4 linked regions of the Pelodiscus sinensis genome follow. The protein of the gene in region 3 interacts with the protein of the main gene of each other region in a pairwise test. Links are inferred from orthologs where the notes say so. Each region holds a gene or a part of one and is shown on either strand. Other genes may lie near its edges. The genes, in order: STK25, IMP3, CCNDBP1 and NANOS2.

Evidence for each region.
Region 1: the proteins of CCNDBP1 (region 3) and STK25 interact in binary tests that used the Homo sapiens proteins (3 or more experiments, as listed by UniProt). The two-hybrid records come from large-scale screens. The link is inferred for Pelodiscus sinensis from reciprocal best matches to the Homo sapiens genes CCNDBP1 and STK25.
Region 2: the proteins of CCNDBP1 (region 3) and IMP3 interact in binary tests that used the Homo sapiens proteins (3 or more experiments, as listed by UniProt). The two-hybrid records come from large-scale screens. The link is inferred for Pelodiscus sinensis from reciprocal best matches to the Homo sapiens genes CCNDBP1 and IMP3.
Region 4: the proteins of CCNDBP1 (region 3) and NANOS2 interact in binary tests that used the Homo sapiens proteins (3 or more experiments, as listed by UniProt). The two-hybrid records come from large-scale screens. The link is inferred for Pelodiscus sinensis from reciprocal best matches to the Homo sapiens genes CCNDBP1 and NANOS2.

What each region holds. Positions count from the first base shown.
Region 1 is NC_134720.1:284,464-292,048, forward strand, and holds the start of STK25 (serine/threonine-protein kinase 25), read right to left. Parts: upstream 3,177-7,585; 5' UTR 3,018-3,176; intron 625-3,017; 5' UTR 531-624; coding exon 501-530; intron 1-500. UniProt on the Homo sapiens protein: Oxidant stress-activated serine/threonine kinase that may play a role in the response to environmental stress.
Region 2 is NC_134713.1:12,403,181-12,409,580, reverse strand, and holds IMP3 (U3 small nucleolar ribonucleoprotein IMP3), read right to left. Parts: upstream 1,968-6,400; 5' UTR 1,903-1,967; coding exon 1,345-1,902; 3' UTR 516-1,344; downstream 1-515. Other genes in the region: PLA2G7 (platelet-activating factor acetylhydrolase), read left to right, coding at 3,939-4,029, 6,122-6,246. UniProt on the Homo sapiens protein: Component of the 60-80S U3 small nucleolar ribonucleoprotein (U3 snoRNP). Required for the early cleavages during pre-18S ribosomal RNA processing. Part of the small subunit (SSU) processome, first precursor of the small eukaryotic ribosomal subunit.
Region 3 is NW_027465987.1:395,635-402,898, reverse strand, and holds the start of CCNDBP1 (cyclin-D1-binding protein 1), read left to right. Parts: upstream 1-4,258; 5' UTR 4,259-4,639; coding exon 4,640-4,730; intron 4,731-6,055; coding exon 6,056-6,115; intron 6,116-7,264. Other genes in the region: ZNFX1 (NFX1-type zinc finger-containing protein 1), read left to right, coding at 763-3,198. UniProt on the Homo sapiens protein: May negatively regulate cell cycle progression. May act at least in part via inhibition of the cyclin-D1/CDK4 complex, thereby preventing phosphorylation of RB1 and blocking E2F-dependent transcription.
Region 4 is NW_027465849.1:6,570,540-6,577,848, reverse strand, and holds NANOS2 (nanos homolog 2), read right to left. Parts: upstream 2,863-7,309; 5' UTR 1,755-2,862; coding exon 1,119-1,754; 3' UTR 562-1,118; downstream 1-561. UniProt on the Homo sapiens protein: Plays a key role in the sexual differentiation of germ cells by promoting the male fate but suppressing the female fate. Represses the female fate pathways by suppressing meiosis, which in turn results in the promotion of the male fate.

The sequences.
Region 1 (7,585 bases), on a different chromosome or scaffold from region 3:
AGCTAACCCTGACGGACTGGATCCGGCCTGTGGGCTGGTATTTGCCTGCACCTGATTTAGGGCCAAGCAGACCAGCCTCTCATCCATCTCCAAAATTACTTGGCACAGGATGCTCACTGTGGCTATTACTGATGTACATCCAGTCCATTATACTAGGGGCCGGTCATTCTGTAACTCAGACTTTGCATGTCTGTCCCATTTCTTATCCCACTTCCCCTCAAATGCTGAGAGAGAAAAACACTCCCCACTTCCCTAAGGAGGTCACAGTTATATTTAGGGAGCTACTGTATCCACGCCAGTCTCTTGCTTCCTGCCTCCATGGCAGTGTCAAAGCCTGATTCTTTCAGGGACTAGGACAGCAACCCTTTGGATCAGAACAGCACAGCTGAGAACATAGGTGGGACATCCCCACCTTGGTAAATGACGACAGAGTTCTTAAAACAAAGACTTTTGCTTTGAGGATTTGTATCATGTTTCAAAAACTATTCCTTCTCACCTACCTGATTGGCAAAATCCCTCAGATGAGCCATGGCCCGAGGCTGCTAAGACACCCACTTCCTTGACACCAGGCGGCCGGGGTCCTGTAGCACAGGGATGAGCAGTGCTCTCTCAGCCACCAAACAGCTGTGATGGGCCAGAATACAGCTGCTATACTCAGAGCTCCTAGAGTCTAGCTTGCTCCTCCTCTAGCCACGGCATGGTGAGCCCCCCAACCATTCCCAAGAGCACAACCCCTTCTGGCAACAGCCCAACGACCCTGGGCCTTCCGAGACAGGGGAGACTTGCTTCAGACAGGCAGGAACAGTGTCAGAGCCCTGAACAACCCTACCGCTTCCACCCCTAGGCTGCACAGCCTGCCCAGCCTGGGCTCAGCTCCCTAGGGCCCAGCCTGCCCCCACTCACCCCCTGCCTCCAGCGCCCAGCCTGCCCCGAACCCCTCCCCACTGCTCCGCCTGCCCCCCTTCTCACTCCCCCCGCGTCTCCCTTACCCCACCCCTCGCCGCCCCTCCTCCCCCCCGCGTCTCCCTTACCCCACCCCTCGCCTAGCCCCTCGTCCCCCCCGCGTCTCCCTCACCCCACCCCTCGCCTAGCCCCTCGTCCCCCCCGCGTCTCCCTCACCCCACCCCTCGCCACCCCTCCTCCCCCCGCGTCTCCCTCACCCCACCCCTCGCCACCCCTCCTCCCCCCGCGTCTCCCTCACCCCACCCCTCCCCGCCCCTCCTCCCCCCGCGTCTCCCTCACCCCACCCCCCCCGCCCCTCCTCCCCCCCGCGTCTCCCTTACCCCACCCCTCCCGCGTCTCCCTTACCCCACCCCTCGCCTAGCCCCTCGTCCCCCCCGCGTCTCCCTCACCCCACCCCCCGCCGCCCCTCGTCCCCCCGCGTCTCCCTCACCCCACCCCTCGCCACCCCTCCTCCCCCCGCGTCTCCCTCACCCCACCACTCCCCGCCCCTCCTCCCCCCGTGTCTCCCTTACCCCACCCCTCGCCTAGCCCCTCGTCCCCCCCGCGTCTCCCTCACCCCACCCCCCGCCGCCCCTCGTCCCCCCGCGTCTCCCTCACCCCACCCCTCGCCACCCCTCCTCCCCCCGCGTCTCCCTCACCCCACCACTCCCCGCCCCTCCTCCCCCGCGTCTCCCTCACCCCACCCCTCGCCGCCCCTCCTCCCCCCGCGTCTCCCTCACCCCACCACTCCCCGCCCCTCCTTCCCCCGTGTCTCCCTTACCCCACCCCTCGCCTAGCCCCTCATCCCCCCCGCGTCTCCCTCACCCCACCCCCCGCCGCCCCTCCTCCCCCCGCGTCTCCCTTACCCCACCCCTCCCGCGTCTCCCTTACCCCACCCCTCGCCTAGCCCCTCGTCCCCCCCGCGTCTCCCTCACCCCACCCCCCGCCGCCCCTCGTCCCCCCGCGTCTCCCTCACCCCACCCCTCGCCACCCCTCCTCCCCCCGCGTCTCCCTCACCCCACCCCTCCCCGCCCCTCCTCCCCCCGTGTCTCCCTCACCCCACCCCTCCCCGCCCCTCTTCCCCCCGCGTCTCCCTCACCCCACCCCTCGCCGCCCCTCCTCCCCCCGCGTCTCCCTCACCCCACCCCTCCCCGCCCCTCCTCCCCCCGCGTCTCCCTCACCCCACCCCTCCCCGCCCCTCCTCCCCCCGCGTCTCCCTCACCCCACCCCTCCCCGCCCCTCTTCCCCCCGCGTCTCCCTCACCCCACCCCTCGCCGCCCCTCCTCCCCCCGCGTCTCCCTCACCCCACCCCTCCCCGCCCCTCCTCCCCCCGCGTCTCCCTCACCCCACCCCTCCCCGCCCCTCCTCCCCCCGCGTCTCCCTCACCCCACCCCTCCCCGCCCCTCCTCCCCCCGCGTCTCCCTCACCCCACCCCTCCCCGCCCCTCCTCCCCCCGCGTCTCCCTCACCCCACCCCTCCCCGCCCCTCCTCCCCCCGCGTCTCCCTCACCCCACCCCTCCCCGCCCCTCCTCCCCCCGCGTCTCCCTCACCCCACCCCTCGCCGCCCCTCCTCCCCCCGCGTCTCCCTCACCCCACCCCCCGCCGCCCCTCCTCCCCGCGTCTCCCTTACCCCACCCCCCGCCGCCCCTCCTCCCCCCGCGTCTCCCTCACCCCACCCCTCCCCGCCCCTCCTCCCCCCGCGTCTCCCTCACCCCACCCCCCGCCGCCCCTCCTCCCCCCGTGTCTCCCTCACCCCACCCCTCGCCGCCCCTCCTCCCCTCGCGTCTCCCTTACCCCACCCCTCCTCCCCCGCGTCTCCCTTACCCCACCCCTCCCCCCCCGCGTCCCCCTCACCTCACCCCTCCCCCCCCCGCGTCTCCCTCACCCCTCCCCCCTCCGCCCCTCCCCCCCCGCGTCTCCCTCACCCCACCCCTCCCCGCCCCTCCTCCCCCCGCGTCTTCCTCACCCCACCCCACCCCTCCCCGCCCCTCCCCCCCGCGTCTCCCTCACCCCTCCCCCCCGCCTCCCTTATATCCCTCCCCCATTGCCCCCCCCGCCCCTGCCCGCAGCGCCACCTGGGAGGGGGAGGCCGCGCTCAGCGCCCCCCGCGCCGCGGCTCCATGGTTCGCTCTCGCTGCGCGCGCCGCCGGTTTCTAGGGGGCCGCCCCGGACACCGAACTCAGCAGCGGTGGGGGAGCGAGACGCAACAACAGCGCGCAGAGGCGGGCGGGCCGCACAGCCTCCTGGGACGGGTAGTTCCCGCTCGGCCGCCCGGCAGGGTGGAGTCAGGCTGCGGACTACAGTACCCGGCAGGCAACGGGCGAGGCGGCTCGGGGCGGGAAGAGCGGAGCCTTCTGGGAAATGTAGTTCGCTCGCCCCGCTGCTCGGCCGGAGCGCAGCGGCCTCGGGGCAAGAGAGGACTACAGCCCCCAGCCGCCTCGCTCCCCCTGGCGTGGTCCTTGGGCAGCGACCCCCGCCGCGTCCTCGGCCCTGGGGTTCCCCCTAACGTCCTCTAGGGGCCCTCCCCTCGGCCCCTCCCTGGGGACCCCCTCGGCCCCTCCAGGGGCCCCTCCCTGGGAACCCCCTCGGCCCCTCCCTGGGGACCCCCTCAGCCCCTCCAGGGGCCCCTCCCTGGGAGCCCCCTCGGCCCCTCCCTGGGGACCCCCTCGGCCCCTCCAGGGGCCCCTCCCTGGGAGCCCCCTCAGCCCCTCCAGGGGCCCCTCCCTGGGAGCCCCCTCGGCCCCTCCAGGGGCCCCTCCCTGGGGGCCTGGCGGGGAGGAAGGGCGATTCTCCCCCTCCCCCATGCCAAGACCTCTCCCTTACAGAAACTGGGCTGGGCCCCCGGCTTCTCCCCTCTGCAGACGAACCCCCCCCCCCCCGGCTGTAGAGTCTCTGCTCCTGCCTCGTGCCCCTCTCCTGGCCGAGCCACTGAGAGCAACAATACCATGGGGGGGGGTACGATGAGAGGATCCCCGCAGGGTGAGAGGGAAGCCTGTTGCCCCAAAGCAAGAGAAGGAGAAGAGTGCTGCAGGCAGGGCAGAAGGGAATGTCACCCAACCTGCTGCTCTACCTACTAGCGCCCAGGGCAGTTACTCAGAGCTGGCTGCCCTTTGCCTTCCTGAACTCAAATCTGGCACCTCAAACAATTGCAGATGCCTGTGCTGCTGCTTATCTGCTCACCTTGACCTCTGCTGGGTCCCTGCGTCATTTCACACTCACTCATGGCACTCCCTTTGGGGAGAGAACTTGACTTTTGAAGGTGAGCTTGAGCCTTTTTATTGCTTTGTTGTAATGAACAAGGAAAGCTTAAAATCTTTTCAGAGCTGTAAGTGGGTGGGGTGTTCTTTCCTCAGCTGGCTTGTACATTAGGAGCTCAGGTCTGGTCAAGGGTGAAAGATGATGATGACAGAGCTAGAGTAAATGATGAGAAGAAAGAAAGTTATTTTCCCTGGGGAGGGAAAAAATACTTTTAATCAGACTGTTTTAAAACACTTGGATGCTTCAAAAAGGCAAATAACTGTAATGACTAACTCACATTTTGAATAAAGGAAGCCTTTGTTAAATCTTTAACAATCTCACCAGCCAAGGCAGGTGCTGTTTACTGAGAGTTCTCATTGTTTAGACATCCTCCAACAAAGCCAGGAGATATCATGAATGTAAAATATGGTATTGGTAAGAATAAAGACTCATGATAGTAAAAGATCAGTCCTTTATACATCCTAGGCTGCAAGCCAATTGAAAAAACTGCTTTACAGGTCACTTTTAACACTTGACTTGAAATCTTTCCCAGTTAGCAAGCCGTGGTTCCCTGGCACATGTGCACTCTGCTCACTGTTTCCTACATGCATGGCTTTTTGCACTTGGCTGATCCTCAATTCATTGACTATACACTGCCCCTCTTACTACAAGTTGTAGCAAAAATGGCGAAGGACTGTAAAAAAAGTCTTGCTGAGCTAGGAAGTGTCAGGTGAGGGTTAGTGTCCCTTGCCCATCCTATCACTTCGCTACTCTTGAGTTAACACCTAAAATATATACTTAATATATATTTATAAATAGACTTTCAGTTTCAAAGACAACTGTTTTCATGTATGTGGCATTGGCAGCAAACACTCAAGTCCAGGGCTACTCAACACATGGCCCATGGGCTGCATGTGGTCCACGGCCTGTTTGTTTGCGGCCCGTGGTGCGGTTTGGGTTTACATGGGGTTCAACACACGGCTGACGTGGGATCCTGTGAAGGTGGCCTCCACTGGGAACACGCTCCACAATGGCAAGTCAATATAATGGTCTTCTCTTAATATGCATTTTAGTAGTTCAATTCCTGGACAGTCGGTGCTTGTTCAAAGTGCTGTCAGATGGGTGGAACTCGGGTAAATATTGCATTGTATTAATGTCAGCAGAACTGACTTAAATGGGGCCTGTGTGTTGTGTAGCCTTGCCTTAAACGTTGTATTCATGCCCATCAGTGTGAAAGAAGCTATTTGCATATATTTGCATATATGTTTGCACGTATATGCAACCACACTTAAGCTGCAGCCCTTCGCATGTGCTGAGAGTATCATTGTGGCTCCTGAGGCTTCCAAAGTTGAGTAGCCCTGCTCAAGCCCTTGTAGAGAGGCAGATCATCTTTGAATTTAAGTGAATTCTCTTGTGCAACTAAGAAGCTTCAGACCATGAGCACATCTGTCAGCTCCCCAGATAGCTTGGCCTCCAGTTTCAGTGCAAGTTGGAGTGAACCCTATGGAGCAGCCATATGGCCCCAGGAAACTGATCACTCTATCTCTTGTATTTCCTCCAGCTGGTCTCCTGATCCCAGGGAGTAAGAAGCACACCAGTCAACCAAAGCTTTCTTTAATTAAAACCATAACAATAATAAAATAAGCTTCTGTCCCTTTTCCTTGCGAAGGCAGCCTTGAAAATAAGCTAGTCACTCGGGAGTGAAAGGCAGGTACAGCTGGGCTCCAGTTCTGCAGGAAGCTAGAAGCGATCAAAAGATTCCCTTCTGCACATGCACATGCCTAGGTAACGCCCCTGCTGGGGAGTGTTATCTGTTCCCAGTCCACAGCACCTTTTAGCTCTCCTGTTTGCCGCTGCCATTCTGAGAACAGGTGTGGAAAGATACAGCAGAGTAGCCTGGAAGATTTACATTTTGTTGACAATCTGACTTTTCTAAATGACAGCCAACCAGCATATGAGGATTGTGCAGCATTGCACACAGAGAGGGGTTAATAATTAGTCATCAAAGCAAATCTAAGAAAGAATTCCAGGAACTCCCAAATCAGCAAAGGAAAGCAGAAAGTGTGCCTCTGATACCTAAGGCTAGGTCAGGAGAGCAAGGGAAATATGAGATGCCTTTTCTGCACACACACACACACACCCATCTTCAGCTTAAAGTGGAACACGGGAAGGAGAATATGGGTGCAACATTACTGCATTTTACCAATTTCCCTGAGATACTCACTTGCATAGTCATAATCACAGATTTTATTAAAAGCTTTGCTCTGAAGTTCCTTGCTTCCCCATGCACTCACACCCAGCTGGACAGAACAGCAAAGTACTGTATGAAGAGACAATAGTCCAGGCCGTCTGCCCCGAAGTAAGTGGAGAGAAAACAGCGTCAAGCCAGTGCGTGCAGGATCCCGGAAATAGAACTGCCCAGCATCTGTTTCTCTTGTCCCAGGGATGGAGGGCACCGGGCCCAGAGCCCACACACACACCCATTTGTGTATTGCACGCAACGGCTTACTCCCCATTCAGAACTGTCCAGGGGCTGCAGGATGTGGAGTGTCTGCGGAACAGGGTGGCTCATGGCATGTTCTGCCAGCCCTGAAGAGTGTCCCCTGCAGAGAGCAGTCCTGCTCAGCATGTGTCTCCTGCCTGGCCCAGGCCGGTTCTGCTGGCTTTGTTCCAACACCTCCTTTTGCAGTCCCTGGGCCTGATCTGGACAAGCCCTTCTGCATCTCCTACCCCAGGTAGTCACTGGCCTCGTTTCTTTTCCTCTGGAGAGTCTGGAACACATGACTGACATCAGCGCCCTGCTGGGTGTGTGCCTCACCTTCCATGCAATGAAACCCCACAATCCTTTTCTGTCCTGGGTGGCATAGTCCTGGCCTTCACAACTTCCTCTGGAGAGGAGTTCCACAGGTTGACGGGGCCTTGTGTGAAGCAATTCTTCCTTTTGTTTGTTTTAAACCTGCTGCCTATTCATTTCATTTGGTGACCCTCTAGGTCTTGTGTTATGGGAACAATAACATTCTCCACACCTGTCGTGGTTTTATAAGCCTGCAGAAACAACAGCCTTTGCAAGAGCCCGGGCCTTCACACCAGCACAGGTCATGCAGTAGACTTAAGAGCTGGGCTGCCTCTGAAAATACAGCTCTTGGCTTCTGGCCTAGGCCAGGCACGCCAGGCCCAGCTAGTGTGCTGCTGGGAGTGTGGGTGTGGAAGGCAGTCAGGAATTTCCATCGACTACTCGATAGGCACTTGGGCATTCCGCCTTTGAAATGTACAAGAGCCCCCGCTGGGCCCCTCTAGGGCGCTTGTCCATTGCAAAGGAGAAATGCGGAACTCCGCGTGCAGCCCGGGGCCAGCAGGAAATCCCGCTGACTCCGGGCTGCACGTGGGGGCCAGCTTTGAAATGTAC
Region 2 (6,400 bases), on a different chromosome or scaffold from region 3:
ATTTCTACTTCCTAGTCAAGAGACCAGTTGCTACCAGTTTCCCAAACAAAATAAGCTAAACAAGTGCTTATGCTGGTATATCTGCCTAGGGCTCCCCCCCCCCCCCCCCCCCGTAGTGTTAACTCACAGCTATACCAGTAGATCCGGCCTTTAAGGGATTTAGCTTTCTTTGCTCCTTGGGGCAAAGTATTTAGCACATAAGTAGCATAAACAATACATCTGCAAGATGTAATAGATACTATGCAACAGAACACTAACAATAAAGACAACAGAAAATGCATTTGTGATTGTTACGAAGACAGAACATACCTAGGAAAGGTGCCTGCAAATCCACAGGTAAATTAATAATGAACCATTTAAAATTCAATTAGATTTAATTGTTGGTTAAGTAGTGAAACCAGTTCAGCAGTGAAACCAGAACACATTCAATGTTACTACAGTAGGACAGGGGAAAAATATTACCAAGAAAGAGCTCAGTTCTTGCTTTCAAGAAATTAAATAGATTTTCTAAGAAGCAATCTGAATTTCAGTTTTATTACATATAAATTATGATGACTGGTGTAGATAATGCTGCAGATTACAACGTTAGCATAATTAGCCAAGATCAGTTCTGAAAACAGAATTATCCCCATTGATTTATTTTTGAAAGAAGGACTATTATGAGAAGCAAAAGGGAAGCTGGTTAAGAAGTCCTTTGACAAGACAAACTATAAAACCCTGTATCTCTTCTAACATCACATTTGAACAACAGATCTGGCCAGGAGAGCCATTTGTTCATCAGTCCCTTCTAGATGGCCCTTTGGTGGTGATGACATAACAGCATTCAGTCTATTTTGCTAATGGCCTTTGCAGCAGGAGGGTATATCATCACATCAGAGGCAGAGGCTTAGGGACAGTGACTTATGACATCTGCTTAATAGCTCATCGTAGTAATGACATCAGGGTCAGAAATCCCTTTAATGGGAGGGGACAGGCAGCAGGCACGATGGCATAATTGAGCCACAAGTCCCCTTGCAGAGAAGGTGGGTGGTACCAGGCTGGGCCTATCTTGGTGGTACCAGGCTTGGTCCATCTGGGCAAGGAGTTCCTTCACAGAGGAGGTGCATGGTACCAGACTTGGTGACACAACAGTGTACTGAGTCCCTTTGCAGAGAGAGAGAGAGGGGAGCAGGCTTAAGACAACCAGGCCAGGCATCTCTTGGCAAGGACAGGCAGAACACAGACGAGCTGGCCCCTGGGTAGCACTGCTCTCCGTGGCATGGAGAGGCACATCATCTGGGCCCCGAGTCTCTTCCCAGGATGGTGGGGTGCATTAGCCAGCAACCCCCAGGGGTCCCTGCCCCGCTAGCAGGCCAGGTCGAAGTCATCCCGCTCCTGGTTGTAGTTCAGCACGTGCTGGCGGATGCGGGAGGAGTCGGTCCAGGTGATGAAATCCTCCATGGCCCGGGTCACCAGGCAGGCGGGGTCGGTCACCACCTCGGGCCCCACCCGCACGTGGCCCTGCTCGATGAAGGTGACGGCGTCGCGCAGGCTCTGGGCCATGCGCAGGCGGAGCAGCAGGCTGGGCAGGCGGCGGCGGCAGAAGGAGCTGGCCGAGACCCGGTCGCACTGCTCCAGCGAGCGCTTGGAGCTCACCAGCCCCAGCCCGTGGAGCTTCGCCAGCAGCGCGGCGGTGCAGCGGGCCCGGAAAGCGGCGTCGGCCTCGCCCAGGTCGCGGAGGCGGCGCGCCAGCTCGCGCACGGCGCGGCTCAGCTGGTTGTAGCGGGTGTAGTCCTCGCGCCGCTGCAGGCGGTAGCGCCGCAGCACGCGCAGCTCGGCCAGGTTCCCCGAGGCCGCCTCCCAGCCCACCAGGTCCAGCCGCTTGAGCAGCTTCTGCTCGTGGAACTTCAGCTTCCGCACCATCCTGCCGCCGGGGAGGCTACGAGCGCGAGCGGCCCTTAGCAACCACGAGTGGGGGGGGGGGGAACCGGAACTTCCGGCTCTCCGAGCAAGGGGGGGCGGGGCTTGCTGCCCTTCTCTCTCATTGGCCAGAAAGAAGCGGAGCCTGCCGCCGGTCACGTTTTCAATAGGGGGAAAGAAGAGCGGCGGCTTGGGGAGTGACGCATGACGGGATAGAGAGGGACTGCCAGGCGGGTGGTGGTTTCGGTGCGCATGCGCCAAGCTGGCTGGCTGGTCGCGAGCCTCTGCACAGAGTGGTGCTGCGCCAGGGCGCTTGCATGGGCGTGGCCCCCGAGGCTCAGGATCGCCCCTGAACTGGGGAGCCTGTGCTGGTGCTCCAGCCCCCCCCTTGCTGCTCCACCATGGGGCTCCAGTACTCAAAATGTGCCAGGCTGGGTCCCCCTAGCTCTGGTGTGCAGGGGGAATGTGGGGAGTGTCTTTCTCCTTAGCTGGGGGCTATGCCAGTGAAGGGTTTTTGTCTGCAGCCCCTGACTGTTTTTTCTGTGCGTCAGTGGCTCCCCACTCAAAAAAGGATCCCCACTCCTGCTTTACAGCCACCAGCCCAGTGCTGATGTGGCCTCCCAAGTTGTGTATTAAAGTTGTGTATACACCCACTAAACAGTTGTGTATTAAAGTTGTGTATACACCCACTAAACAGTTGTGTATTAAAGTTGTGTATACACCCACTAAACAGTTGTGTATTAAAGTTGTGTATACACCCACTAAACAGTTGTGTATTAAAGGCAAATACAAGGCAGCCTTGCACCATGAAAGCAAAGTTAAAGCAACTCGGGGGAGGGGCGGTGAGACATAGCAAGCTACCAGACCCACTGTTTGGCTACTACAGTGTCCAGAAACATCTGACAGAATTGAAGAAAAAAGCATTTTTTAACCAACATGAGAGATTCCAAATACAAGTATCTTCTCTAGTGCTGGGTTTCAGTTTTCCGAATATGTGGCACAAATAACTTCTGGACTATTGTAATCAGCTATCCTGGGATACTTTTTGCTACCCTTTTGTGTTTAGGGGTATGCCTGTCTTAGGTGACTCAACCGGCCTCTTTACTGACTCAAGTATAACAAGTTTAAAGGCTCAAAAATGTCTGAGAGAACATACTTTGTGCTTCTGTCATGCTTTTCATACAAGGTTCTTATGCAACTTTACAAATCATGAAGTGTCTCACACACTGCTGTGAATTAGGGAAACAGTAGTATTCCCATTTTTCAGATGAGGACTGAGGGCTCTTCTTACCATAGTGGCACAGATGCACTGCTGTAGCATTTCAGTGTGGACCCTACCTATATCATCAGGAGGGTTTCACCCATTGGGCAGATAATCCACCTCTCCAAGAATTCTTCTGTTGACCTAGTGCTTGTCTACATGCGGACTTAGGTCAGCTTAACTATTCCTAGGCCTGCTGACAAAAGCAATTCTGGGCCCCAGGACCAAACAATCAATGTCCCCCCCCTCCTTTTCCTTCAGCTGGAGAGAGAGTGTGTGTGGGGAGGGTGCAATATATATATATAGGGATGAATTCTGCCTTACCTATCAATAGGGGGCCCTGGCAACTAATGTAAAATATGCCAAGGAAATGCTCTAAATTATGCTGGAGACTGGACTGGGTCCCACTATATCCCAGAATACAGGAGGCGCAACGCAGAATGGACTGCAATGACCATCAGTGCAACTATGATCTGATGGCTTTTTGGTGGGTGTGCTATGTGAAAAGAGTTGATGCTCTCAGTTCTGGTTGTAGTGAAGCAAGAATTCGCATCACTAAAACCAGCTTCCTAGTTGATTCTCTTGGCAGTCTTAGCAAGGTTTGAATGGTCAAGGAGACTGACTGGAGGCTTTGAATCATTTGCTAATCCAGATGTCACCCTTAAAAACAAAACTAAATATCTGTTGCTTTTGAATACTTGTTGTTTATATAGTGTTACATTATTTGCTTTGGCAAAGGTCATGAAGCTGAAACACTGAGAAGTTGCATGAATAGAAGATGCAGTCTTCAAAATTTCATTTACTTTTCCATTTCCGTTACTGGTTGCTCTGGACTAGCATAGGGAAATTGGGACAAATTCAATTAGCAGGTAAGAAATGTATCCTTCAGTGGCGCAGTTATTATTTATTTGTAGGAGGCTAATAAAAAAAAGGGGGGGGGGGGAGAATGTGATTTTGCACCTGTTACCTGAAAGCTTTTAGTAAATGTGCAGGCTGTCAGTTTATTATGTATCCCATTAATTAACTCCCACACATGAAGTGTCCTAAAGAAGCAGTTGCAGAATTGAGACCTCTTCGTGCAGGCCTGGTCTATGTACAGCCCACAGGCTGGATCTGGTCCACTAAGCCACCTGATCTGGCCCATGGACACAGTGTGGAGCTCCAGGCAGGCTCCCTAGCTTGCGCCACAGCCCAAAAGTGGTGGTAGGTCCGTTTCTCTTTAAAAACTGAATGGGGGAAGGCTTCAGACACTGCTCTCGCCCCCAGCACAATCCCATTGGCTGGCTTCTGGCCATACACTGGCCAGTGGGAGCTGCCTGTTTGAATAATGGGCAGCACACAAAGCACCATGCCTCCCCCCTCTCCTTCAGCTCAGTTATTCACACAAGCATGTGTAGGTGCAGGTGCAGGGCAGGCAGGCTGGTTGATCTACTGGCTGATAAGTCTCCTGGCCAGAACCTGCCTCTCACACCCCAGACCCTCTCTTCCCCAACCCTCTGCCCCCCCACTCAACATATCCAAACCCTCTGACCCTCTCCTGCATCCATATCCCCTCCCAGATCTGGCATCCCAATCCCCTTTCCCAGATCACAATCCCCTCCTACCCTAGGTCACTACCCAAACTCCTGCACCCCAGTCCCCTCCCCTAGATCACAAACCAAACCCCTGCACCCCAGTCCTCTGCCCTAGGTCACAACTGCCTCCTTCACCCAAACTCCCTCCTGCACCCCAATACCTTACCCCAAGCTCCCTTCTGCACCCAACCTCCATCCCAGACCCTCTACCTCCTCCATTAATATCATGGAAGTGTGCGGCCCTCGACCACTTTCCAAAATCTTGGAGTGGTCCCCTGTCAAAAATTATTGCCCACCCCTGCGGTAAAGGAAGGGATAGCATTTTTTCTAGTCGATCCCAGTGTGCGTTATAAACATTACCAACTCTATCAACCGGTGCACTCTGCGCCAACTAATTGTTATGCACCTTAGAAGGATTAATCTGGAGGTAGAATAAGTTAGGTCACCACCAGGCTTTTTCCTTTGGGCTTTGCTGAAGGCTGGCCTGCAGAGTGTCTGAGATCACAGGAGACATATTCAGAAGCCCTGTTAATACTGATCCACAGTCCTGCTGCCATGTCACATATCAAGCAGGTTTGCAGGAATTTCAGCAGGAACTTCTCCTCCTGGCCAACAGGGACAGCTATAGTGGAGGAATTTCAGACCTCCAAACGGCCTCTCCCCTTGCTCTTGCAGCTCGCCTGTGACAGGATGCAAACCAACATGGAGCACTTGGAAGGAGGAGGTGTTCTTGTTGGCAAGGGAGCCGGGAGGAGTAGGGAGGAGCAAAGAGGAAGGGGTCAAGGGGAAGCTAGCTGGGAAAAGGAGGTCAGTCTTGAGACACAGGATGGGTGTTGGGTTGAAAGACTGCGAGCACCTTGGGGGTTAGAATAAAGTAGGAGCTGAAAGGACAGGCTAGGGTGGAGAACACTAATGTAGACAAGCAAAACATGGGGAGGTAGCAAATGCTAGAAGAGGGGAGGATGAGTCAAACTCCTCAATGCAGGCTACTTCAGGAACTGCTAATCCTGCCTCATCAAAGGTCTACTATCACCACTCATCTCCACAGCAATCCCAGGCTTCTGCCAGCTTCCTAGTCCTTGTGTCACTCTAATAATCGCTGCCCCTGGCTCTCTTACTCCTCCCTTCATCATTCTCCTCCCTCCCAGCTATCTGTGGCTCCTCCACACAACACTCTCCCAGGTGAAATTCTGTGGCTTGAGATACACAGGAGATCATAATGCTCCTTTCTGGCTTTAAAATCTATGAATCCTCTGCCTGCTTCTCATCACTCTTGACTGTCAGCTCAGCCCTGAATCTCAAAGTCCTGAATCTGTAATGCTGTGATGTCCTCTTCAGCAGGTATGCAAAGGAGGTGGTAGTCACCTGTTCTGTGTTTTACCCCCAGGTTTGTGTGTTAATGCACAGAAGGATATGGAGAGCAAGAACTCTGCAAAGATGTATAGAATTCCTCGGGGGAAGGGGCCTTACTCTGTTGGCTGCACGGATCTGATGACTGGTCACACAACTCAGGTATGAAAGCCAAAAGGTCCTCTCACTCCTTTATTTTTACATAAGCCATGAGTCCAACATGGCAGCCTTCATCATATTATGAGATACTTATTAAATGGAAGCTTCCCCTGGTTCTGATAAGTGAAAATTCACAGGTGCAGAGGAGCAGGACAAA
Region 3 (7,264 bases):
CAGCAGGGACCCTGACATTACTAGCCCTTACTAGAGAGGAGAGGAGAAACTCTGTGTTGGAGAGACCAAGCACCATGGAAGCTGTCAGAGAGGGAGGAAGGTAAGATCAAACAAAACAGTGTGATGAGACAAGGGAATTCAGACCTCTCAAAGTTAATATACGCTTACTTGGACACAACAAACTCTGAGTCATACACAGAACCCCGCATTATGTGGCCCACAAGTACTGCATGTACGTGTTAGAGAAAAATGAAAAAGGGTCTTATGCATGTGGGATACTGCAAGTGTTTTTCATCCTGGCTAGTAGGTATCTAGTAAATAAACGCTGTGCATGGCTCTGTCATCACCCATTTCTTCCACCTGCCCTTAAACTGACTAGTGTGAATGAATGAGCTGTGATTGCTCATTTGTAGCCTGGGAACTCCTTTGGGTAACCTAAAGAATAAAAGGTAGGCATGGGTCTCTAATTAAAATATAAGAAATCAAATCCTCTGCATGCTTCTGGATTTCTGGAATAGTCAGTGATTTATCAGTGGAACACGGGCCAACAAGCTCCCAAACTCTCCCTTACTAGGTATGTTATGAAGGGTCTGACTGACGGATATTTGCCTTAAGTGTACAATCACCAGGGTTCCTCACCATGAATCCAAGTAATTTACAGAGAACTGCTAAGTGGATCATGAAAGGCATGAAAGGGGCTTGCAGAGTTGGCAAATTAGAATGTTTTTTTTTTGGTAACGTTTCCCCCACTTATCTTTTCAGGGGGTCTTATCGAACCTTTTCTTTGTGGAGCATGACTTCCTGGAACAGGAGATTCAGGAAGGGAAAAGCCACCAGAATCCACATGAGGCCCAGTTTGTGGTGGAGTTGTGCAAATACTTCTTGTGCCAGGATTACTTGCCCTCTCAAATCACCATCCTCACCACCTACACTGGGCAGCTCTTCTGTCTGCGCAAACTCATGCCTGCCAAGATCTTTGCAGGTGTAAAGGTTCATGTGGTGGATAAGTATCAAGGTGAGGAGAATGACATTATCTTGCTGTCACTTGTGCGCAGTAACAAGGAAGAGAGAGCTGGGTTCCTGCAGATTTCAAACCGGATCTGCGTAGCATTATCCAGAGCTAAGAAAGGGCTCTACTGTGTTGGGAATATGAGAATGCTTGCCAAGGTGCCTCTGTGGAGCAAGATCATTCACATCTTGCGGGAGAAGGGTCATATTGGTCGCTCACTCATGCTGTGCTGTCAGAACCATCCTGACACTAGGACACTGGTGTGCAAGGGAGCAGACTTCTGCAGAGTTCCTGAAGGGGGCTGTAGTCGCCCCTGTGAATTCAGGCTGAGTTGTGGACATGTCTGCACTCGAGCATGTCACCCCTATGACTTAGAGCACAAAGAGTTTCAGTGCATGAAGCCCTGTCAAAAGGTGCTCTGCGGAGATGGCCATCGTTGCCCCCAGTTGTGCTTTGAGAACTGTGGACAATGCATAGTGGAAGTGCAGAAAACGATCCCAAAGTGTGGCCACCAGCAGATGGTCCCTTGTTCCACTCCTGTGAACAAGTTTTGCTGTCAAGAGCCTTGTCAGAAATATCTGAAATGTGGGCACAAATGCAGCATGTCCTGTGGGCAGGAATGCAGTGTGCAGTGTCTCGAAATGGTTAAGGTCACACTGAAATGTGGCCACGACCAGGAGGTGAAGTGCTGGATCACAGAGGAGATGAAACATGGGATGCCTGTGAAATGCAAAACCAAATGCTCTGTCTCACTGGCTTGTGGCCATGCATGCCCGGGTTCCTGCTATACCTGCTTTGAAGGGCGATTTCATGAGCACTGTCAGAGCCCTTGTAAGCGCATCCTGATCTGCTCCCACCAATGTCAGCAGCCTTGCACCAGAGAATGCCCTCCGTGCCAGCAAACCTGTCAGAACCACTGTATCCACAGTCGTTGCAAAAAGAAATGTGGAAAGATGTGCATCCCATGTATGGAGCCATGTGAGTGGCGCTGTCAGCACTATCAGTGTACCAAGCTTTGCTCTGAACCGTGCAACAGGCCCCGTTGCGATGAACCATGCACCAAGCTACTGCACTGTGGTCATCCATGCATTGGGTTGTGTGGGGAACCTTGCCCAAAAAAGTGCCGTGTTTGTCACCATGATGAAATCACCCAGATCTTTTTTGGCTATGAAGATGAGACAGATGCTCGCTTTGTGGAGCTGGAGGACTGTGGCCACATCTTTGAGGCCCAAGGCCTTGACCATTACATGGATGATGAAGATGAAACTGTCATCAAGCTGAAGGTCTGCCCCAGCTGTCAGACAGCCATTAGGAAGAACCTGAGGTATGGCACCATAGTAAAAAGGCGGCTGGAGGAAATAGAGAGAGTGAAGGAGAGAATCCAAGGCCCTGTAAGTGAAATTGAAACTAGCAGGCACAGACTACAGGATGTGCTGGAAGGGAAGGCTGTTCTGCGAAGGAATCTGCCCACTAAATACCTTCTGTTGGAAGAGAAGTTGATACACCCTGATCTCTCCACAAAGAGTATTGGACTCCTTGAGAACCTGATTGGCTTCTATGGGCGCTTGGGGGAGCTGACAAGCTCCCTGAACAAGGTTGATGTGAATGAGAAGGAAAGACTGAGGATGCGACTGGCTGAAATTCAGGAGTGGTTGGACAAGCCCCGACTAAGCTTCACGGGCCAGGAGCTCGTTGACCTTCAGAGTGAGATTCAGAGGCTTACGTATCTTGTGAGTCTCCTGGCCAGATGCAAAACAGCAACTGCAAAGATGAATACTTCTATCTCGAGAGAAATTGGTGCTCTGCGGCAGATCCTAGAGGGAACAAAGAAGTTCACCCAAGAGGATGAAAAGGTGGTGAAGAGGAAAATGGAAGAACTAAAGACAGCTCTTCCAGAGTCTGGGTTGGGAATCTCGGAGGAGGAGCGAGTGCAGATTGTTAGTGCCTTGGGTTATCCACGAGGTCACTGGTTCAAGTGCCCCAATGGCCACATTTACGTGATTGGTGATTGTGGTGGGGCAATGGAGAAGAGCAAGTGCCCAGAGTGTAAGGAAGTTATTGGAGGTGCAAACCACACTCTGGAACACAGCAACCGTTTAGCTCCTGAAATGGATGGGGCAACTCATGCGGCCTGGTCAGAAACTGCAAATAACATGCTCAACTTTGAGGAACTCCGCAGGATGATATAGAAGAGCTACATTTGGCTCAGTAGTACACCTTTTAACCCCATGAATGCTCTTTCTTCCCCACTGCCAAGCTGCATAGCACGTGGAGTAGCCAGCGGGTGCTCACTGGCTCTGTTTGACAAATTGGATTTCTTGTGATTAACACTTGCTGTGTTTGTTGCTAGAACTAGTCCTATTTCCTACTCGCACTTTATATGTCGAATCAAGCAACTGAATGAAATAGATGTAACAAATTCATCTGCTTTAGCCTGAAGCATGCGCGGGGCCTAATGTAGTTCCAGGGCTGGCTGGCACCAGTCGGTGGCATCAGCCCCTGCAGTAGCTCTGGCTATTGCTCATTGCACTGAGTGTTTAACCCTCAATCTTTTATAGCTCAATAAATTTTATTCATAGTCATTTAAATGCAATATTTCCTGGGAGCAGCCTCGCCCCCCCCCGGAGAGACCGGGACACCCCGCTACAGGTCCGCTCCTCCCCACCGGCCCACTATTGGCGCGGCCGGAAGTCGCTCTGGTGCCCCAAGGAAGGGCTCGGGCACGACCGGAAGTAGCTGTGGGGTTTCAGTGACGGGGGAGCGCGTGACCGGAAGAAGTTCTGGTGCCCCACTAAGCGAGGTCCGGTTCGGCTGCAAGTAGCTCAGGTGACCCGTTGAATCGGATCCGGGCGCTGCTGGAAGCAGCTGTGGAGTCTCACTGAGGGCTGGGAATTGGCCGGAAGTAGCTGGGGGGGGGGGGGCTCAGGGATGGGCTAGGGTCAGTAACCCTGGTGCCTCAAGTGCCGGAAGTTATTCTAGTGACTCACTCGGTGGGGGCAGGGCGCAGCCGGAAGTAGCTGGGGGGGGGCTCAGGGATGGGTTAGGGTCAGTAACCCTGGTGCCTCAAGTGCCGGAAGTTATTCTAGTGACTCACTCGGTGGGGGCAGGGCGCAGCCGGAAGTAGCTGGGGGGGGGGGTCTCAGGGATGGGTTAGGGTCAGTAACCCTGGTGCCTCAAGTGCCGGAAGTTATTCTAGTGACTCACTCGGTGGGGGCAGGGCGCAGCCGGAAGTAGCTGGGGGGGGTCTCAGGGACCTAGACCAGCATCCTGTCTGCCACAGTGGCCAAGGCCGGGTGCCCCAAAATAGCTCCGGCGTCTGACTAGGAGAGGCCCGGGCGGGGCCGGAAGTAGCTTGGGGGCAGGAGGGGTCTGAAGACGGGGCAGGGCGCGACCAGAAGTGACCCTGGTGCCTCACTGAATGGGGTCCGGCCTCGGCCGGAAGTAGCTCGGGGTGGGGTCTCACTGAGTAGACTTCCGGCGAGGCCGGAAGTAGTCCTGGTGCTCTGACGCTGGAGTCCGGACTCGAGCCCCTTTGAGCGGCGCCCGGCTCATTGCTCGGCCGTGTTTTGCTGACGGTCCCCACGCCCCGTGTGCGTGCGCAGAAAGCGCAGAGACCTTGGGGCTGAGCGGATGGAGCCGGGGGGTGCGGAGCTCGCGCGGGCGCTGGAGCCGCTGAGGCAGCTCGGCGAGGTGCTGCGCGCGGCCCTGGCCCGGCTCCGAGGTGCGGCCGCGGGGCGGGGCGGGGGGGCGGGGGACGTTGATCCGGGGGAGGCGGCGGTGCCGGGGGGGCGGGCGGGGGGGGATCTGGGGGAGGCGGCGGTGCCCCGGGGGGCGGGCGGGGGGAGATCCGGGGGAGGCGGCGGTGCCGGGGGGGCGGGCGGTGGGGGATCCGGGGGAGGCGGCGGTGCCCCGGGGGGCGGGCGGGGGGAGATCCGGGGGAGGCGGCGGTGCCGGGGGGGCGGGCGGGGGGGATCCGGGGGAGGCGGCGGTGCCGGGGGGGCGGGCGGGAGGGGGATCCGGGGGAGGCGGCGGTGCCGGGGGGGCGGGCGGGAGGGGGATCCGGGGGAGGTGGCGGTGCCCCGGGGGGCGGGAGGGGGGGGATCCGGGGGAGGCGGCGGTGCCGGGGGGGCGGGCGGGGGGGATCCGGGGGAGGCGGCGGTGCCCCGGGGGGCGGGCGGGGGGGGATCCGGGGGAGGCGGCGGTGCCCCGGGGGGCGGGCGGGGGGGATCCGGGGGAGGCGGCGGTGCCCCGGGGGGCGGGCGGGGGGGATCCGGGGGAGGCGGCGGTGCCCCGGGGGGCGGGCGGGGGGGGATCCGGGGGAGGCGGCGGTGCCCCGGGGGGCGGGCGGGGGGGGATCCGGGGGAGGCGGCGGTGCCGGGGGGGCGGGCGGGGGGGGATCCGGGGGAGGCGGCGGTGCCGGGGGGGCGGGCGGGGGGGGATCCGGGGGAGGCGGCGGTGCCCCGGGGGGCGGGCGGGGGGGATCCGGGGGAGGCGGCGGTGCCCCGGGGGGCGGGCGGGAGGGGGATCCGGGGGAGGCGGCGGTGCCGGGGGGGCGGGCGGGGGGGGATCCGGGGGAGGCGGCGGTGCCCGGGGGGGCGGGCGGGGGGGATCCGGGGGAGGCGGCGGTGCCGGGGGGGGGCGGGCGGGGGTGGATCCGGGGGAGGCGGCGGTGCCGGGGGGGGGCGGGCGGAGGGGATCCGGGGGAGGCGGCGGTGCCCCGGGGGGCGGGCGGGCGGAGGGGATCCGGGGGAGGCGGCGGTGCCCCGGGGGGCGGGCGGGCGGAGGGGATCCGGGGGAGGCGGCGGTGCCCCGGGGGGCGGGCGGGCGGAGGGGATCCGGGGGAGGCGGCGGTGCCCCGGGGGGCGGGCGGGCGGAGGGGATCCGGGGGAGGCGGCGGTGCCCCAGGGGGCGGGCGGGCGGAGGGGATCCGGGGGAGGCGGAGGTGCCCCGGGGGGCGGGCGGGGGGGGATCCGGGGGAGGCGGCGGTGGCCCGGGGGGCGGGCGGGGAGGCGGCCCTTTCTGAGCGCCGCGCTGGTGTCTTTGCAGATGGGGAGTCGCGGGAGAGCAGTGAGGCCTTCGAGCAGCAGCGCTTCTGGGACACGCTGGGTAAGGGCCTGGTGTGGCGGGCGGGCCCAGGACTCCCAGCCCACGGGCCCCGGGCTGCAGTGGAGGAGCCCAGCTGAAGAGCGGTGCGCTAAAGGGATCAATGTGGAAAAGAAACCGCCCAGGAGCTTCTGCTGGTCCGCCAGGGACCGCACCGGGGACCTCATGTTGTGCTGGCACTTGGTCCGCAAGCGCAAACGATTTCCCTCAGAACAGCTTCCAAAGGTTTTACGAGCCCTGCCCTCAGTATCGGATTGCACAATTAAAAAACATCATGGGGGTCTTAAGATGTTCACTCTTGGAGAAATTTACAAGTTGAATTTATGGCAGTGCTTTTGGGGTTTGCTAAATTCAGTCCCGTAATTGGGGAAGCCACTTCATTGCTTTTTCAGTTAATGGATATGAACCTGTCAGAGGATGATCATAGAGCTGGAAGAGACCTCAGGAGGTCATCAAGTCCAGCCCCGTGCCCAAAGCAGGACCAATCCCAACTAAATCAACCCAAAGCAGGAGGTGCTGGACTAAGTAGCTAAATTAAAAAGCAACATATTACAAAGCATCATACATCCAAGAGCTGAGAACAAATTTACCTGGATGTAGCTGAACTATTACTAAAACCAATAAAAATTGTATCCCTTTTTAAGAGGTGCTATGGTGATCCTGTGAGTTGCAGATCAGTGAGCCTTATTTCAGAATTTGGTTAAGAGGCTGAAACTATAATTAAAAAACATGGAACAATTTCCATACAGAAAAATAATGAGAATCAGTTACATCTTTGAAAACCTTTTGCCAAAATTCATGAAGCGAGAGGGAAAGTGCTGTCATGGATTGAACACTAGCTAAGAGACCAAGGAGAGGAGCAATAAATGACCAGTTTACCATATGGCATGTCTTGAGCAAAGAGTGCCCTGTGGGTCTTTATACTGAGAGTGGTAGGTGCTTTCTTTTTGTTAATGATCTGAAAATAGAAATGACCAGTGAAGTGGCAAATTTTATAGATGAGGCAAAATCAGAGAAGTCTTTGAGGGACTTCATAGGGATCTAACTAAGGTAAGTGAATGGGTAACGCTGAGTGATCTGTAGTATGGTAACAAGACAAAGTTAGTGATAGGCAAGGTTATGCATCTTGTAAGAACAATAAATCAGGTTTCA
Region 4 (7,309 bases), on a different chromosome or scaffold from region 3:
CCCATGGGCTGCCGGCAGCAGCCTCCGCCAGGACTGCACACGGGCTGCCCGGCGTCCAGCGAGAGGGGACAGCAGGGAGGCACGGCCCCACCAGGACCCCGGCTGCCTCCTACAGCGCGCCCTCAGCTGGCCCCTTGGACCTGCCTGCCTGCCGTTTCCTGTGGGGGGTGGGGTTGCCAGTGCCCACTGGAAGCAGGAGGCCCGGTGGCCCGCACATGGCAGGGTGCACTCTACCTCCAGGGCGCCGTGCGTGTCTGGCCGCGTGTAACCCAGAGGCACCGAGACCAGTGAGAAAGGGAGCACGAGGCCTGCTCTAGAGTCTCTTCCAGGCAGCTTTTGGCTCATGTGCTAGAGCCACGCGGCTTCCATCCCTTGCATCACAGGTTCAATCCCGGCCCGGTGCTCCTTCCTCTTGCAAGTGGGGGAGACAAAGGGAGCAACTTCTCTTGCCTGCCCGAAAAGGGGAGCTGTTCCAGAGCAACGCTGGGGAAAAGCCGACCAAGCCCACACAACCAGCTGCCAGAACAACAATACTGTTTATTAAACAGAAGAGAAAGGGGCTATGGGAGTGTTGCATTTAAAAAAAAAAACTCTGCTAAACAAACCCTCAAATGTAACAGAGAGAGAACCACGCCTCCCCCCCACCATGGGTAGTTGCAACTACAAAACGCGGTAAAACGCTACGGAGAGGCCCGTTTTCGCATTCAGTCCTTTTCTGCCATGATTTTCAAATAAAACTCGCAGCAAACGCCTGCAAACGATTCCTGCGGAGTGGAAACAAATAAATACCCATTGGCTTGGGCAAAGGAGGTGAAAACAAAACACATGTAGCGGAGGCAAATGTCTCGCAGCCGTCCATCCCGACGGCTGGTCCTTCCGTGCTGGTTCCCTCCCAGCCGAACTCGCCGCGGGGCCAGGATACAACCCCCCGGCTGCCGTGGGGATTTAAAGAAATGAGGGTGACTCTGGACACGTTAGTTCCACCCTGGACTTGAAATGCAAACTCCGAAACAAACAGCAGAAACCGAAAATTTCCGTTCCAAGCACCTTCGGGCGCCTCCCTGGGGAAAGGTCCCGTGTTTTTGTCCCAGGGCGGGGAAGGTGTCTTCCCCTGCCGTTCACCGGCGCACGACGAAGCCGGCCGAGTTGCGCCCGCGTTTGCAGTAGAGGGACTGCTTCTCTTGATTCTGCGGGCAGTATTTCAGCGTATGGGCCCTGTCGCCCGTGGCCCCGCACACCGGGCAGACGTAGTTGCGCAGTATGGGACACAGCACGGTGCCGTCGGCTTGCTTCAGCGGGTGGGAGGAGTAGACCTTCTTGGACTCCCCGTTGTGCCGGCAGAAGTTGCATATGAGTCTGCCGGGCGTCGGAGGGGTGCCCACCCTATTCTGCTCCTCTGAACCGCTGCTACTGTTGCTCCTGTTCCAACCCGATGGTTTCAGGACCAAAGTGTCCTCCAGGGTCATGTGAAGAGGATCCACAGGGAGGCAGAAGTCTGGGGTCTCGCAGGGGAGCAGACGCCTGGATCCCCTTCTGTGTTCCTCAATGATTTCCCCAAGCACCTTGGACAGGTTCAGGTAGTCCCGCCACATGTTGAAGTCATGTGCGAGCGTGGCTGGCGGACAAGGTGGCCTGGGAAGCATGGTGCTCCTCGGAGCAGCCCCCTCCTCTGCAAACAGCCCCTCCACCCTAGCTCCTTTAATAGGCTTGGCCTGCAGTAGGCAGCATGTGCCAGCAGGCAGCACTGTGCCCATTCAGTGCAAAGAGGTGGAGTCTGGGATTTAAAGGGCCAGACACCAAAACCCTCCGCGCCGGAGTTTGACGGGCTAATTCTCAAGGCTCAGCGGTCGGAAGTCTAGTGGTAATCAGACTCTCCCCTCTTCTAGAAATCCAAAGTCCATGTTCCCCTCCGTTCTGCGCCCGAAACTCGTGTCCTAGCGCAGGGGCAGGCCATGACTTTTGGCCAAGCTCAAGACTTCATGGTGGAGGCCTAGTCAAGATCCAGACTCCAGAGAAAAGAATACGGAGAATAATGATAATACTAAAAGAGTTTTGGGGCCATTCAAAAGGATCTTGTGCTCTGGATTTGGTCCCTGGTCTTCTGCCGGTTGATGACCACTGTCCTTGTGCATTGCTGTCAGAGGTCAGGATCAAACCTAGGACCCTGGGACCTTACTGTGGGAGCCTCCTATTGCATGAGCTAAAAGCTATGCTGCTCTTAGCAAGGGTTGTAACAGACTTATCCTACAGGCCTGCAAAATGCCACTAGTTAGCTGCAGACCATGTTCGTGGGGCAGAAGTGGATACATATTTTATACCCATACAGGGTCCATGTGATGGGGATGGTCGCGCTGAGCCACCCTGGCTTACGGAGGTGTCACAAAACACATCCACAGAAGTCGCAAATGCAACTTCGTTGTAGCTCCCCCGCATTTAACCTTCAAGCCGAGTCAGAACAACATTAGTTAAAAGCGTTTTTAAAGACATTTTAAAATGTTTCAAGGGAGCTTTAGCTGCTCCAGCCCATAAACACTCTTCTGTTCCCCCCCGCCCTCCAAAAAAAGCCAACCCACGTGCGCTTATCTGCTAAAAATTGCCCTACTCAGTTGCAAAGATTGAGAGAGATGTTAACAGAAGGGCCATTAAAAAAGTAATTGACAAAAGTAAGAGAAACTGACCAGCATATCTATAGCAAAGAGTTACTTCACCATGGCTGTATCTACACTGGCAAGTTATTCCGGAAAATCAGCCGCTTTTCCGGAAAAACTTGCCAGCTGTCTACACTGGCCGCTTGAATTTCCGGAAAAGCACTGACGATCTAATGTAAAATCATCAGTGCTTTTCCGGAAAAACTATACTGCTCCCGTTCGGGCAAAAGTCTTTTTCCGGAAAACTGTTCCGGAAGAGGGCCGGTGTAGACAACACAGTAGTGTTTTCTGCAAAAAAGCCCCGATCACGAAAATAACGATCGGGGCTTTTTTGCGGAAAAGTGCGTCTAGATTGGCCATGGATGCTTTTCCGCAAAAAGAGCTTTTCCGGAAAAGCGTCCTGCCAATCTAGACGCGCTTTTCCGGAAATGCTTTTAACGGAACACTTTGCCGTTAAAAGCATTTCCGGAAAATCATGCCAATGTAGACATACCCATAGGTATTCCAGCATAACTCAAAGGCAGAGTAAATAATCTGGAAGAAAGTCATAAGAATGGCCAATACTGGGTCATTCTACGTATCCGGTCTTCTAGCAATGGCCAATGCCAGGAGCCCCAGAGGGAATGAACAAGACAGGGAATCCTCAAATGATCCATCGTGTGTCCCCAATTCCCAACTTTTGGCAAACAGAGGCTAGGAACATCAACTCTGCCACGCTCAGCCAATAGCCATTGAAGCACCGAACCTCCATGAATATATCTAGCTCTTTTTTGAACCATGTTGTAGTCTTCGCCTTCCCAATATCCTCTGCTTGTGCGTTGGGGGAAGCAATATTTCTTCTTGTTTGTTTTCAACCTGCTGTCTTTTAACTTCATGGGGCCCCCTTAGTGCTTGTGTTGGGAGAAGGAGTAAATAACACTTCTTTCTTTACTTTCGCCACATCAGCTAGGATTTTAGGCCTCTATCCTCTCCCCCTTTGGACGTGTCTTCTAGCCGGAAAGTCCCGCTCTTGTTAATCTTTCCTCTCATGCAGGCCTGCACAACTTGGAAAGCGGCGAGGGCCATATTACTGCAAAGAAAACAGCCACGGGCCACAAGGGTAGGGTTTTTTTTTGGGGGGGGTGATACTTTATTAAGATTTTTTTCAATTAAATTAGGCTTGCACAACATACGGCTCCCAATGCCCTTCCCCTCTCCTCTCCCAGCATCACCCTGTCCCCCGTCCCACTGATACCTCCCCTCCTGTCCTTTTCCTCATTGTCTCCACTTGGCCCCCTGGCATTTGTCTGTCCTGCACCCTGACCCTTGGTGCCTTCCCCTTTTTCCTGACCTGCCCCCCTCCCCTCCCCTACTTGGCTTCTGCCTTCCAGTTTGCGGGGCTGCCGGAGCCTTTTTGAATCCGGCGATCACTGGCTGTGACATCACGATGCCACATCACACCAGCATCCTGGCGTCTGCTGGCATCCTGCCCTCTGGCTCGCGCCCCGCCTCCTCGCGCCGGAGCTGCACGCAGGCAGCCCGGCGGTGAAAATCGCCGCACTTCCCCCTCCCCGGCAGCGCTCCGCTCCTCCACCCGGATGGCGGACTGGATAGGACCACGCCGCCTGTAGTCGTCACAGGCCGCACAGTGAGCCCCTGCGGACCGCATGTTGTGCAGGCCTACTCTTACGGGTGCTGTTCCATACCCCTCATCATTTTTCTTGCCCTTTTCTGTACGTTTCCCAGTTCCAGTCTATGTTTTTCGAGATGAGGCAGCCACACCTGGGTGTCATGTTCAAGATGCGGGCGTCTCATGGGTGCAGCAAGGCAGTCTGGTATTTTTGTCTGTTGCTCTGTCCCTCTAAAACGATTTCCAACATTCTGTTTGCGTTTTCGCCGGCCGCTCCACACGGAATGGACCGATCGCAATGACTCCATCCAAAATCTCTGTCTCCAGTGGCAACAGTTACTTTACACCCCCCCAGTGCGAATGGAGAGTTGGGAGCCTGTTTTCCAATGTGCTTTACTTTGCATGGATCAACACGGAAGTGCATCAGCTACGTGGTTGTCCAGTCCCACAATCTGGTGAGAACCCTTTGTAACTCTTTGCAGTCTGCAGTGGGCTTACTGCTCTTGAGTAGTTTTCTATCCGCTGCCAGGTTTGCCGCCTCCCTGTTTCTCAGTTTAGTTCGGAATAGAGTGTGCACACAGGGGTATAGTCTCCGAAAGCTCATGGTACCATCGACATGTTTTGTTAGTCTTTGAGGGTACGTCTAAACTACATGCCTCCGTCGACGGAGACATGTAGATTAGCCAGATCGGCAGAGGGAAATGAAGCCGCGATTAAAATAATCGCGGCTTCATTTAAATTTAAATGGCTGCCCCGCTCTGCCGATCAGCTGTTTGTCGGCAGATCGGGGCAGTCTGGACGCGACGCGCCGACAAAGAAGCCTTTCTTGATCGGCACAGGTATGCCTCGTGAAACCAGGTTTACCTGTGCCGATCAAGAAAGGCTTCTTTGTCGGCGCGTCGCGTCCAGACTGCCCCGATCTGCCGACAAACAGCTGATCGGCAGAGCGGGGCAGCCATTTAAATTTAAATGAAGCCGCGATTATTTTAATCGCGGCTTCATTTCCCTCTGCCGATCTGGCTAATCTACATGCCTCTGTCGATGGAGGCATGTAGTCTAGACACACCCTGAGGTGCTGCAAGACAATTCGTTGTTTTTTTAAGTTTTTCCAGTGACAGACTCACTCGGCATCCCCTCTGGAGCGTTTGGAACAGCCGAGTCATCCCAGAATTGCCACAAATAAATTATTTTTCTGCTAGAACCCTTCCCGAAGAACTCCAAAGACTCCTGTGGCACCTTACAGACTAACAGGTTTACTAACAGGACCTGGGGGTTACAGTGGATGAGAAGCTAGATATGAGTCAACAGTGCGCCCTTGTAGCCAAAAAGGCTAATGGCATATTAGGTTGCATTAAGAGGAGCATTGCCAGCAGATCCAGAGATGTCATCATTCCCCTTTATTCGGCTTTGGTGAGGCCGCATCTGGAGTATTGTGTCCAGTTCTGGGCTCCCCACTACAAAAAGGACGTGGACGCGTTGGAGAGGGTCCAGCGGAGGGCAACCAAAATGATTAGGGGGCTGGAGCATATGACTTATGAGGAGAGGCTGAGGGAGTTGGGTCTGTTTAGTCTGCAGAAGCGAAGAGCGAGGGGGGATTTGATAGCAGCCTTCAACTTCCTGAAGGGAGGTTCCCAAGAGGATGGAGAGAGGCTGTTCTCAGTAGTGACGGATGGCAGAACAAGGAGCAATGGGCTCAAGTTGTGGTGGGAGAGGTTCAGGTTGGATATTAGGAAAAACTATTTCACTAGGGCTGTGTCCAGACTCGGGTTTTTTTCGAAAAAAGTAGCCTTTTTTCGAAAAAACTTCACCTGCGTCTAGACTGCAGCCGCGTTCTTTCGAAATTAAATCGAAAGAACGCGGCTTTTCTTTCGACGGCGGTAAACCTCATTCCACGAGGAAGAACGCCTTCTTTCGAAAGTGCTCTTTCGAAAAAAGGCGTTCTTGAAAGCAAACAGGCTTTTTAGAAAGAGAGCATCCAGACTCACTGGGTGCTTTCTTTCGAAAAAGCGGCTTGCTTTTTCGAAAGTTCCGCTGCAGTCTAGACGCTCTCTTTCGAAAGAGGCTTGCAGTCTAGACATAGCCTAGGAGGGTGGTGAAGCACTGGAATGGGTTCCCTAGGGAAGTGGTGGAGTCTCCATCCCTAGAGATGTTTAAGTCTCGGCTTGACAAAGCCCTGGCTGGGTTGATTTAGTTGGATTGGTCCTGCCTAGAGCAGGGGGCTGGACTTGATGACCTTCTGAGGTCTCTTCCAGCTCTATGGTTCTCTGATTCTATGATTTGGGCATAAGCCAGGGGTGGCCTACCTGTGGCTCTTCTGAAGTTATTATGTGGCTCCTTATTCAGGCGCCGACTCTGGGGCTGCAGCTACAGGTGCCAACTTTCCAGTGCTTAACTTCTGGCTCCACCTCCTCCTCCAAGTGTACTGTCCTCATTCCTTCCCTCCCCCACCGGGCCTCCTGAGTGCCATGAAACAGCTGCTTGCCGAGGGCAGGAGGGGTGGGGATGGAAGCAGAGGAGACTGACAAATTGATGGGGACAACTGACAAATTATTGCAGCTCTTCGGCGATGTACATTGGTAAACTGTGGCTCCTTCTCAGGCTCAGGTTGGTCCTACCTGGCATAAGCTTTCGTGGGCAAAAACCCACATGGATGCATGGCGTGGAAATGAGAGAGGCAGGCATTATTATACTAGAAGAAGGGCAGATCAGGGAGAGACCGTGGAATAATGTGAGTTTGTTTTGGGGTAGACAACGCCTGAGGAAAGACAAGGAAATGAAACGCAATGAAGCTTGCGCAGGTTGAAACGTGGCGCCGTCGGTATTAAAAGGTGTGAGCTGTGAGGGTTAAATCCTAAAATTGGCCAGCGCTGAGGTTGTCTTGTTTGCCTCCCGCCCAGGCAATTATGGGTTGATTTCATTGAGATTGGTCCTGCTTCGGGCAGGGGGGTCTCTTCCAACCTACGATTCTATGATTCTAACGCGCGTGACTACACCAGGACCGTGCTAACGTCGCCTGAGAAAACAGGAATAGTGAAATCCACTATGGAGACTC